Daphnia pulex: one gene and its partner. The protein of the gene in region 2 binds, or shares a complex with, the protein of the main gene of each other region. Links are inferred from orthologs where the notes say so. Each region holds a gene or a part of one and is shown on either strand. Other genes may lie near its edges.

Region 1 (3,107 bases), on a different chromosome or scaffold from region 2:
GGAGTAAAGCGGCGAAGGTTGGCACGTCGATCCCGCGTGATTGCAGCAAAGAGTCGACGTGAACTTGAGCGCCGTGAACCGTTCGCGTGTTGTTGCCACTCGCTCCGCTGGCCAGCAGCTCCCGGAAGTAGGAACATCGTGAACTGAGAATGGCTCGATGGACTGGGAAACAGGCGCCCTGGAAAATGAGCGTCACATCGCTGGCGTATTTGTAGTCGAACAAGTCCGACAAGTCTTGTTTGTGCGTTGAGGCCGGTGGACGGGCCAAATCGGCTTGGACGGACAAATCCTTGAGCGCTGCCGTCGCTTCGTACTCTTCCACCAGCGTGTTGAGTTCCAATGGGCTCCAATCGGACACGAATTCACGTATCACTTTGCCGTGATCGTACGATTTCGATGTCCTACGTCGACGTATCAATTTGCGACGTAACGTGGCGAACCCAGTCATCTTTTTCTTCTTTTCTCTGCATTAAAATTGTACAATGTAGTTATTTGTATTAAAACGACCAACTAAAACTAACTGGGAACCAGTAGAAAAACCAATCACAAATCGAAAAATACCTGACGGATACTCCAACAAGCTGATCGCCAGAGTGCATTGATGAGAATGTTTTGGATGAGTCTGAATTCCTGGCAGATCGGTGGCAAGGAGTTGTGCCAGTAGATGTAACGCATTTTCCATCATGAAAACCCGATGCACTGGCTCCCATTTTCTTATCCAAAACAAAAAATAGACGTGAACTTTTCTTCGCTGCTGAGACTCTGGACGTTTCCCTCTGACCACTTCTTTTGATTATATGGCTGGTCAGTTGAATGTGTTTTTCAATCGATTTTGACACATTGGCCCGTTTGGTTGGCGAAAATTGCACATGCAAATCTTGAACGTCTTTTCTTGGAGAATCAACTCAACGAGATTTCTGATCGTCCGACATTTCTCACTTGTTGTAATTCAATTTCACTCTGCGACAATTTACAAGCAACACTGCCACCATCTTGTTTCAACTATTAAGTCTAAAACAGGCTCGCCGACTGCCCTCCACTACAGTTCAAAGCGAGTCTACACTATTGGCTATCTTTTACTAAATCAAGGGAAATGGAAAGTGGAAACGAGAATTCAACATGAAGAAAACTCCCAAATAATTCACAATTTATGATTTTTTAAACTTATTAAGAATTTCGACAAGCTTTTCTCGTTGATATTTCATTTTTGGGATAATCAAGTGTTGTCACAAATTATTTTCCGCGAGTTTTACTGTGGTGGAATCTTTCCGTAATTTAGTTTTCTGCTTTCCATTTTCTTTCAATTAGCAATGGCTTTCAGTGGCGAGCGACTCTTAGCAGTCCAGACGGCGCCTTTTACTTAATGACAGTAGACTCCCCTCTCTTCTTCTTGTTCCCATAAGGCAACGAATTCCTCTCAATTATATGGTTTACGACCTCTAGGGCGAATTCTCCTTCTGGCGAAAGAAGTATATATAAATAATTGTTCTTTGGGGTTTTTTTCTTTAAAACCCACTTCACTTAAAAATGACGACACTAAGGCCGTTCACCTGTGATGATATGTTTCGTTTTAATTTCGTGTAAGTCCCTATCAAAAAGTTTTGTAAACAAACTTATTTTTTAAATTATTAATTCGGCTTTCATTTTTATGGTCACCGTTTAGAAATCTAGATCCTCTGACCGAAACGGTAATATCTCTTGCATAAATCATGGCCAACAGCTACGAGACTAATAATGCATATTTTTTCCAACAACTTTTCCATGTAGTACGGGCTCACTTTCTACCTGCAATACATGGCTCATTGGCCGGAATACTTTCAACTGACTGAAGCACCTGGTGGAGAAATCATGGGATACAGTAAATTGATATTCACGTCCAAGTGAAAGCCTCTCAATTAATCAAGACTTTTCTCTACATCCGGACAGTTATGGGTAAAGCAGAAGGGCACGCCACCAACTGGCACGGCCATGTTACCGCTTTGAGTGTAGCACCAGACTACAGAAGGCTGGGGCTGGCTGCAAAACTTATGTTTGGATTAGAAGAAATTTCTGAAAAGTAAGCCTGATACTACCGAATGCTATCACTGTAGGATGAATTGAAACTAAATGTCATTTACTCAGGAAACAAGCCTATTTTGTTGACCTGTTTGTCAGGGTGTCTAACACTGTGGCCATCAACATGTACAAAAATTTAGGTTACATCATATATAGAACTGTGTTGGAATATTATTCTGGCTCACCTGATGAAGATGCCTATGGTGAGCCCTGCATTTTATTTTAAATCAGAATTTTAAACTTAATTCTTTTTCCCACCTTAGACATGAGAAAATCTTTATCAAGAGATGTGGATAAATTATCAGTAGTGCCTCTAACTCATCCAGTCAGACCAGAAGATATTGAATAAAAATACATGGTCATATTCTTTCAATTATTTGAAAACTTGGTTTATTAGAATAGGAAAGGAAAAAATGGCTTTACTTGAGGGGCAAAAAAAAAGAAAAATAAAACAAAAGGAAATATTTGGAACGTTCTATGGAAACGAAAGACATTTTTTAAATTAACTTGACAAATTAAACTTTTCGATATCTTCAAAGTGCGAGTTCATCACTTTGCACCATTGCTCCTCTTCCTTGTCGCGTTTGTTCTTCTTTTGTCCAGTTCGCTTCTTCAACTTTTTGGGGGTTTCATCGACATCCCCGAAATCATCGAAATCTTCGGTTTCCAAGAGTATTTTTCGTTTGGCTATCCGCAAGTCACGTTTCGAGTAGGACTTCCTAGCAGGCTACAAAATAATTATTAATAATTTTTACTTGAATAAGGTGAGAACTCAATTTCTTACCTCGTCGAAAACTGTGGGCGGTGTAGGAGGGACAACAACTTTCTTTGGAACGGCATTTTCTTCGTTCACGTGATTCTCACCCACTACTTGAATGTACTGCACCAATTTGGTCGACTTTGGTTTGACTGGCTCGAGAGGTCGGATACCACGAATCAAATCACGCGCCACATTTTCATCGATGCGGGCTGGACGATTGATGGACTTTCGTATAGCCTTGGAGAGTTTACGAACGGGCGAAACAGACGAGAAGCAATCGGCAACTGTTTCT
Region 2 (4,520 bases):
GTGGATCCCAAGATACAAAGACGCCGCAGTCACGATTATCGACACACGTTTTCCAATCTGGCTGATCTTTGTCGGGATCGGCAAACATACCTGCCGCAGATTGAACTAATTTCGTATGGGAGTTGCCGTCCAGAAGCAGATCCAGCAGCATGCGCTCGGTCGTGGACGAGGCAAAGTGAGCAGAGCTATCCAGCCGTTGGCAGAATTGAGTAAACTCGGGAATCTTCCCGAAAGAGCCAAATTTATAGGCCGAAATTAAACACTCGGATGTCTGTTGAAGAAATGATTAAAACCAAATCAGATGAGAAGATTCCTGAAACATTGCGAATGAATAGAGTACTTCTCTTGCGTGCGTGGTGTAAAAACGTAACGTGTTGGAGAGTAGTGGCGAAGCTGTGTACGGCAATCCCATCGAAATCAGTGGACGGCAGAGCAAATGGCCAAGCGAATCCAATTGAATGTATTTAACATCCAACGATTCGTAACGCTGGAAGGCTGCACGGCCGTGACCTATTGAAAAATGGGGGGCGAAATAACTATTAAATTGATCTGTACTGTTACTAATTTATTTGTTACCAGCTAGTGTATATACTCTGGTGACGAGCAACTTTAGGTGGTAATTAGCTGGACTGTTGGCTAGGGCCGTTTCCAGCAATAACAGGCACTTGTCGAGAACAACGGGATCGTTATTCCACGTATCTAACAAAAGGTGGGCAGCCAACAAGGCATAGCCATCGTTCGGTCTATCCCATTCAAAAAGAAAAGCATTGCTTGGTCATCTGTGAATAAATTAAAAAAGAACAGCATAGACTGGATACCTAAAATCCGTTGCCAACAGACCAGCATTCAGAGATTTCGTTTGCAAATAATGGCCCCACAATTTCTGAGAGAGCTCAATTTTTTCTTCTTTATTCAACAGATCATGTTGACCGAGGAACCTATTCAACTGGATGTGCAACAAGTGCCGGCATATTTGCTTCACCTTAAAAAGAAAAAAGAGAAACTTTTAGTTGGCTCCTAGGCCTTGGACCTAGATATAAAATATTACCGTAGTAGGAGATTGGGAACTTGATTGATCCAAGCCAACGGATTGGGTAACACAACCAAGAAATTCGTTCACCTGTTCGGCCGGCAAACTGCTGACGAACGGCCGAAGATCTTGGAAAGCGCAAGGTTTGTCTCCCATTACTTCCACGTATTCTTGGGCAAATTCCCTGAAATTGCCTAAACAACAACGGCAAAGTTACAATTGGACCAAGGAGGCAACTTGCGATGGCAAATTAAGATTACCGAAAACGGTGGAAGCGTCAAAGTTTCGTTGTTGGAGTTGCTGCCAGAAAAAGAGCATCGCCAAATAAGGGCCCCGCAACTTGTTTTCTGACTTGAGTCTTTCTTGCTCCATCAAAGAGAGGAGGAAGGTTTTCGCTCGGCCAATCACATCGGCGTTGGTAGTGCTGGTCAACTCAAACAAGGCTTCCATGTAAAGGCTGTAATAGCTCCACTGGTCCGGGTTTGAACGCAAAAGTTCCTCGGTGTAATCCAACATCTGATCCCAGCGTTTCATTTGCCTAAGATATTCGCCCTTTTTGTTTTCAATCATGCCATTCGCCAGCTTTTCCGATAGCGATCCTTGCAGCACTTGTAAGGCCTCCTGGTATTTTTTCTGTTGATAGATATTGGCCCTTGGTTATGGATGCAATAACAAAAAAACAATATTGTATACTCTCGATGAATATACCTGTTTCTCCAGAACCATCAAGTACAATTGCACTTCAGCTTCTGCTTCAATCTTCTTCTCTTCCACAAACTTTTTGATCATTCTTTCGGCCAACGGCAACGTTATCGTAAGGCATACGGTATCGTCGTTGACGTAGGCCTACGAAAGCGGGAAAAAAAATCAACATCAACATTCCAAGGCAAGTTTTTCTTAAAGGTGAACTTTACTTGCATAAGGATACTCATGACAGCCCAAAAATAGTATGGGTTTTTGGGCTTGACTTTGAAGAGGGCCATGGCTGTCAGCTGCTGCTTTCGGTAGTCACCAATGCGAACATAGCCCATGAAGAGATGGGACAGAAATTCCTCGTTCAAAGGGTCTTTCCTGACTGCCGCTTCATAAATCTGGCACGTCAGTTCAGCTGTGTAAAAGAAGATCACATTATTTAAAAAGAAGTTATCCAAGTGTAAGAACTTTGCTTTTACGTCTGTGAGTTTCCCGATAGCAAATGGCCATGGCTTGAAGTGTGGCATCTTCGCAAGGCTCCTCCAATTGCACCTCCTGCAAGATGGTCTGGGCCTCCTCTGATTTCCCTAGCCTCACCATGGCCAGGGCCTTGAGAACCTAAACAAACAAAATATCTCTCACATTTTGACACTTTCCTCACTTGAGAGCCAATGTTTACAACAAGCAGCGTACCCTGGCACATTGTAGGTTTGGCTGCTTCTTCAAGACCTTTTCCGCCTCCTGCAGAGCCTTCTTGTTGTTTCCATTATCCAGCCAATCTGTTATGATTATGGAAATCAAGACAGGTGAAGAGAACAAATTAACTCGGAGCAAATCGTGTGTGGTGGGGTGAACCCCCGAAACATAATGATATTTATTTTTTGGTCACGGGTGAGGTTTATATTTGGGGGATGAATTTTCCGTACAATCATTTACCGTAAATTGGCCGCAAACGTCTCTCGTTGACTGAATTATCAACCGGCTTCATTTTTGTAGCCATCTTCGAGACCATGTCTTTTGGGAAAAAATAAATTAAAGAAACTCTGTGGGGCCTTGTGCAGATGGCGCGGACTAGTGTTCCGCGCAACGTTTCAGGAAACGCGCCAAATTTGATCGGTAATATCCTAAATTGCATTGCATCTATATAGGAAATAGTTGTAGAGTCGGGCCAAAGAAGAAGATTCTCTTTTCATGCAATACCGTTGGAGAAATCGATAAAGTGTAGCCATTCGTCCTTGTATAAAGAAAAACACATGGTCCTTTTTATTTCTCAATGGCTGTGACGACAAGAGCAGTTTCCAACATCAAAGTTTGATTAGTCTGATTATTTATTTTTCTTTTTTGGGGAGAAAATGAATCAAAGTCTTTGACGTCAGACGTTTCTCTGCCACCTGAAATGTGTTACGTCAACAAAGCGCCGTGATGAAAATGGAGCTAGCTCTTATTTCTTCGTGAATATATTAAGTATCAAGGGAAAAGTTGAACAATAGAAGTAGCAATAACAAAGTGAACTAGTTTCTTATTAACTTTCAAGTGCTGCTGTAGACTCTCTATACACACACACATCTCCATATGTCTATGTGTATCTCATTTCGAATTGCCTAAACAAAAGAGAAGCCGATATCGATCGGTCATTCGGCTTCCTTTAGTATATATATGTAGATATTAGATATGACGACGGTATAGAAATAGCGATGTTGTACACAGACGTGGAGAAGGCCTTTTATAGCGAAACAAAAAAGAGCTAGAGAATTGATTTATTTTCTACTGCTACTGACGTCGTCGTTCTATTTGGTCGCCGCCCCTCTATCATTGGCCGGCGTCGTGAAAGATGTGGCGACATTTTGATGCGATTGGCGCAGGCGCTTTCAATATGACAGCGACGTCACACGCGATGAAAAACTAAATAAATAAATAAATAATAATAACATTCTATTGATATTTGGATATCGTATTATTTGTGTGTGTTTGGGGGAATCTGTGACGCGTGACGTGGCAATCTCTCTCGTGAATGAGGACGAGCGGGATCCGGAAGGAGGTAGGGATCAGACTATATAGGAGCTATATAGGAGCCTCTGCACTAGGAGCTCAAGGGCCATCAAGAGGATAGAGACTGTGTGTGTATAGTAGTGTGTGTATGGATTTTCTTCTCAGTTCCATGTGCATGGCGCACATCGATCGATTGGGGCCAAAGAGACTCTGGTCCCGACTCGTCTCATTCGTCGACCGACTATATAGCACGCCGTCGCCCACAGTCTATATCGCCTGTGTGTACAAGGGTCTGTCCGGGTTGGCTGTCAGCTGCAGGATTGACGATTGGGCCGCTGTATCATTTCGATTGTCACCGTCGTCACGAAAACAACGGCACGGATCGATTTCCAAACGGATAAGTCCAACACAATGCCACCACACACTAGTACATGTATCCCGCACAAGAACTGCACCACCATTTTCGTTGGTTGGTGGGCAGCAGCGATCATATATGAATATTGCACAACTGGCTGGACCCACCCATATTTCTATGGCTTGTTGTTTTGATTCGCAGGGGCTTTCCTTATGGTCTCCGAGGGAGGGTTTCATTTGATCTTTTTTACGTTGACAATTTGACATGAACGGACAGCGCGGGACAAATATTTGTCCTAATGGTATAAATGAAAGAATCAGCGTAGACAAGATGTAAAACAAAACGCTAATAATCAAAAGGGACATACTGTACAGGTGAAAGATGAGGCAGATATGACGAGAGTTGATGATGTCATAATACAAATTCAGACGTGATTATAATTCTTTTTTTTTT

The links.
Region 1: the proteins of N-alpha-acetyltransferase 25, NatB auxiliary subunit-like (region 2) and N-alpha-acetyltransferase 20-like are in contact, whole or in part, in a cryo-EM structure (PDB 7STX), measured with the Homo sapiens proteins. The link is inferred for Daphnia pulex from reciprocal best matches to the Homo sapiens genes NAA25 and NAA20. Residues at the interface, in NP_079229.2 of Homo sapiens: Ser226, Glu227, Ile228, Asn259, Asp261, Asp262, Trp263, Gln264, Arg318, Arg321, Leu325, Lys362, Pro363, Cys364, Thr367, Asp368, Val371, Leu457, Thr459, Glu460, Leu461, Ser504, Ala506, Leu510, Leu532, Asp533, Lys535, His536, Ile537, Gln538; in NP_057184.1 of Homo sapiens: Thr2, Thr3, Leu4, Arg5, Thr8, Cys9, Asp10, Leu12, Phe13, Phe15, Asn16, Asn19, Leu20, Pro22, Leu23, Thr26, Tyr27, Gly28, Ile29, Pro30, Leu33, Gln34, Leu36, Ala37, His38, Pro40, Glu41, Pro49, Glu52, Met54.

Annotation. Positions count from the first base shown.
Region 1 is NC_060019.1:120,093-123,199, forward strand, and holds N-alpha-acetyltransferase 20-like, read left to right. Parts: upstream 1-1,324; 5' UTR 1,325-1,527; coding exon 1,528-1,580; intron 1,581-1,663; coding exon 1,664-1,688; intron 1,689-1,767; coding exon 1,768-1,858; intron 1,859-1,926; coding exon 1,927-2,056; intron 2,057-2,121; coding exon 2,122-2,258; intron 2,259-2,318; coding exon 2,319-2,404; 3' UTR 2,405-2,428; downstream 2,429-3,107. Other genes in the region: BTB/POZ domain-containing protein 7-like, read right to left, coding at 1-464, 562-710; nascent polypeptide-associated complex subunit alpha, muscle-specific form-like, read right to left, coding at 2,558-2,782, 2,840-3,107. UniProt on the Homo sapiens protein: Catalytic subunit of the NatB complex which catalyzes acetylation of the N-terminal methionine residues of peptides beginning with Met-Asp, Met-Glu, Met-Asn and Met-Gln. Proteins with cell cycle functions are overrepresented in the pool of NatB substrates.
Region 2 is NC_060028.1:8,233,650-8,238,169, forward strand, and holds the start of N-alpha-acetyltransferase 25, NatB auxiliary subunit-like, read right to left. Parts: upstream 2,801-4,520; 5' UTR 2,736-2,800; coding exon 2,660-2,735; intron 2,503-2,659; coding exon 2,417-2,502; intron 2,342-2,416; coding exon 2,203-2,341; intron 2,139-2,202; coding exon 1,945-2,138; intron 1,877-1,944; coding exon 1,739-1,876; intron 1,664-1,738; coding exon 1,291-1,663; intron 1,225-1,290; coding exon 1,049-1,224; intron 983-1,048; coding exon 819-982; intron 744-818; coding exon 577-743; intron 511-576; coding exon 341-510; intron 272-340; coding exon 1-271. UniProt on the Homo sapiens protein: Non-catalytic subunit of the NatB complex which catalyzes acetylation of the N-terminal methionine residues of peptides beginning with Met-Asp, Met-Glu, Met-Asn and Met-Gln. May play a role in normal cell-cycle progression.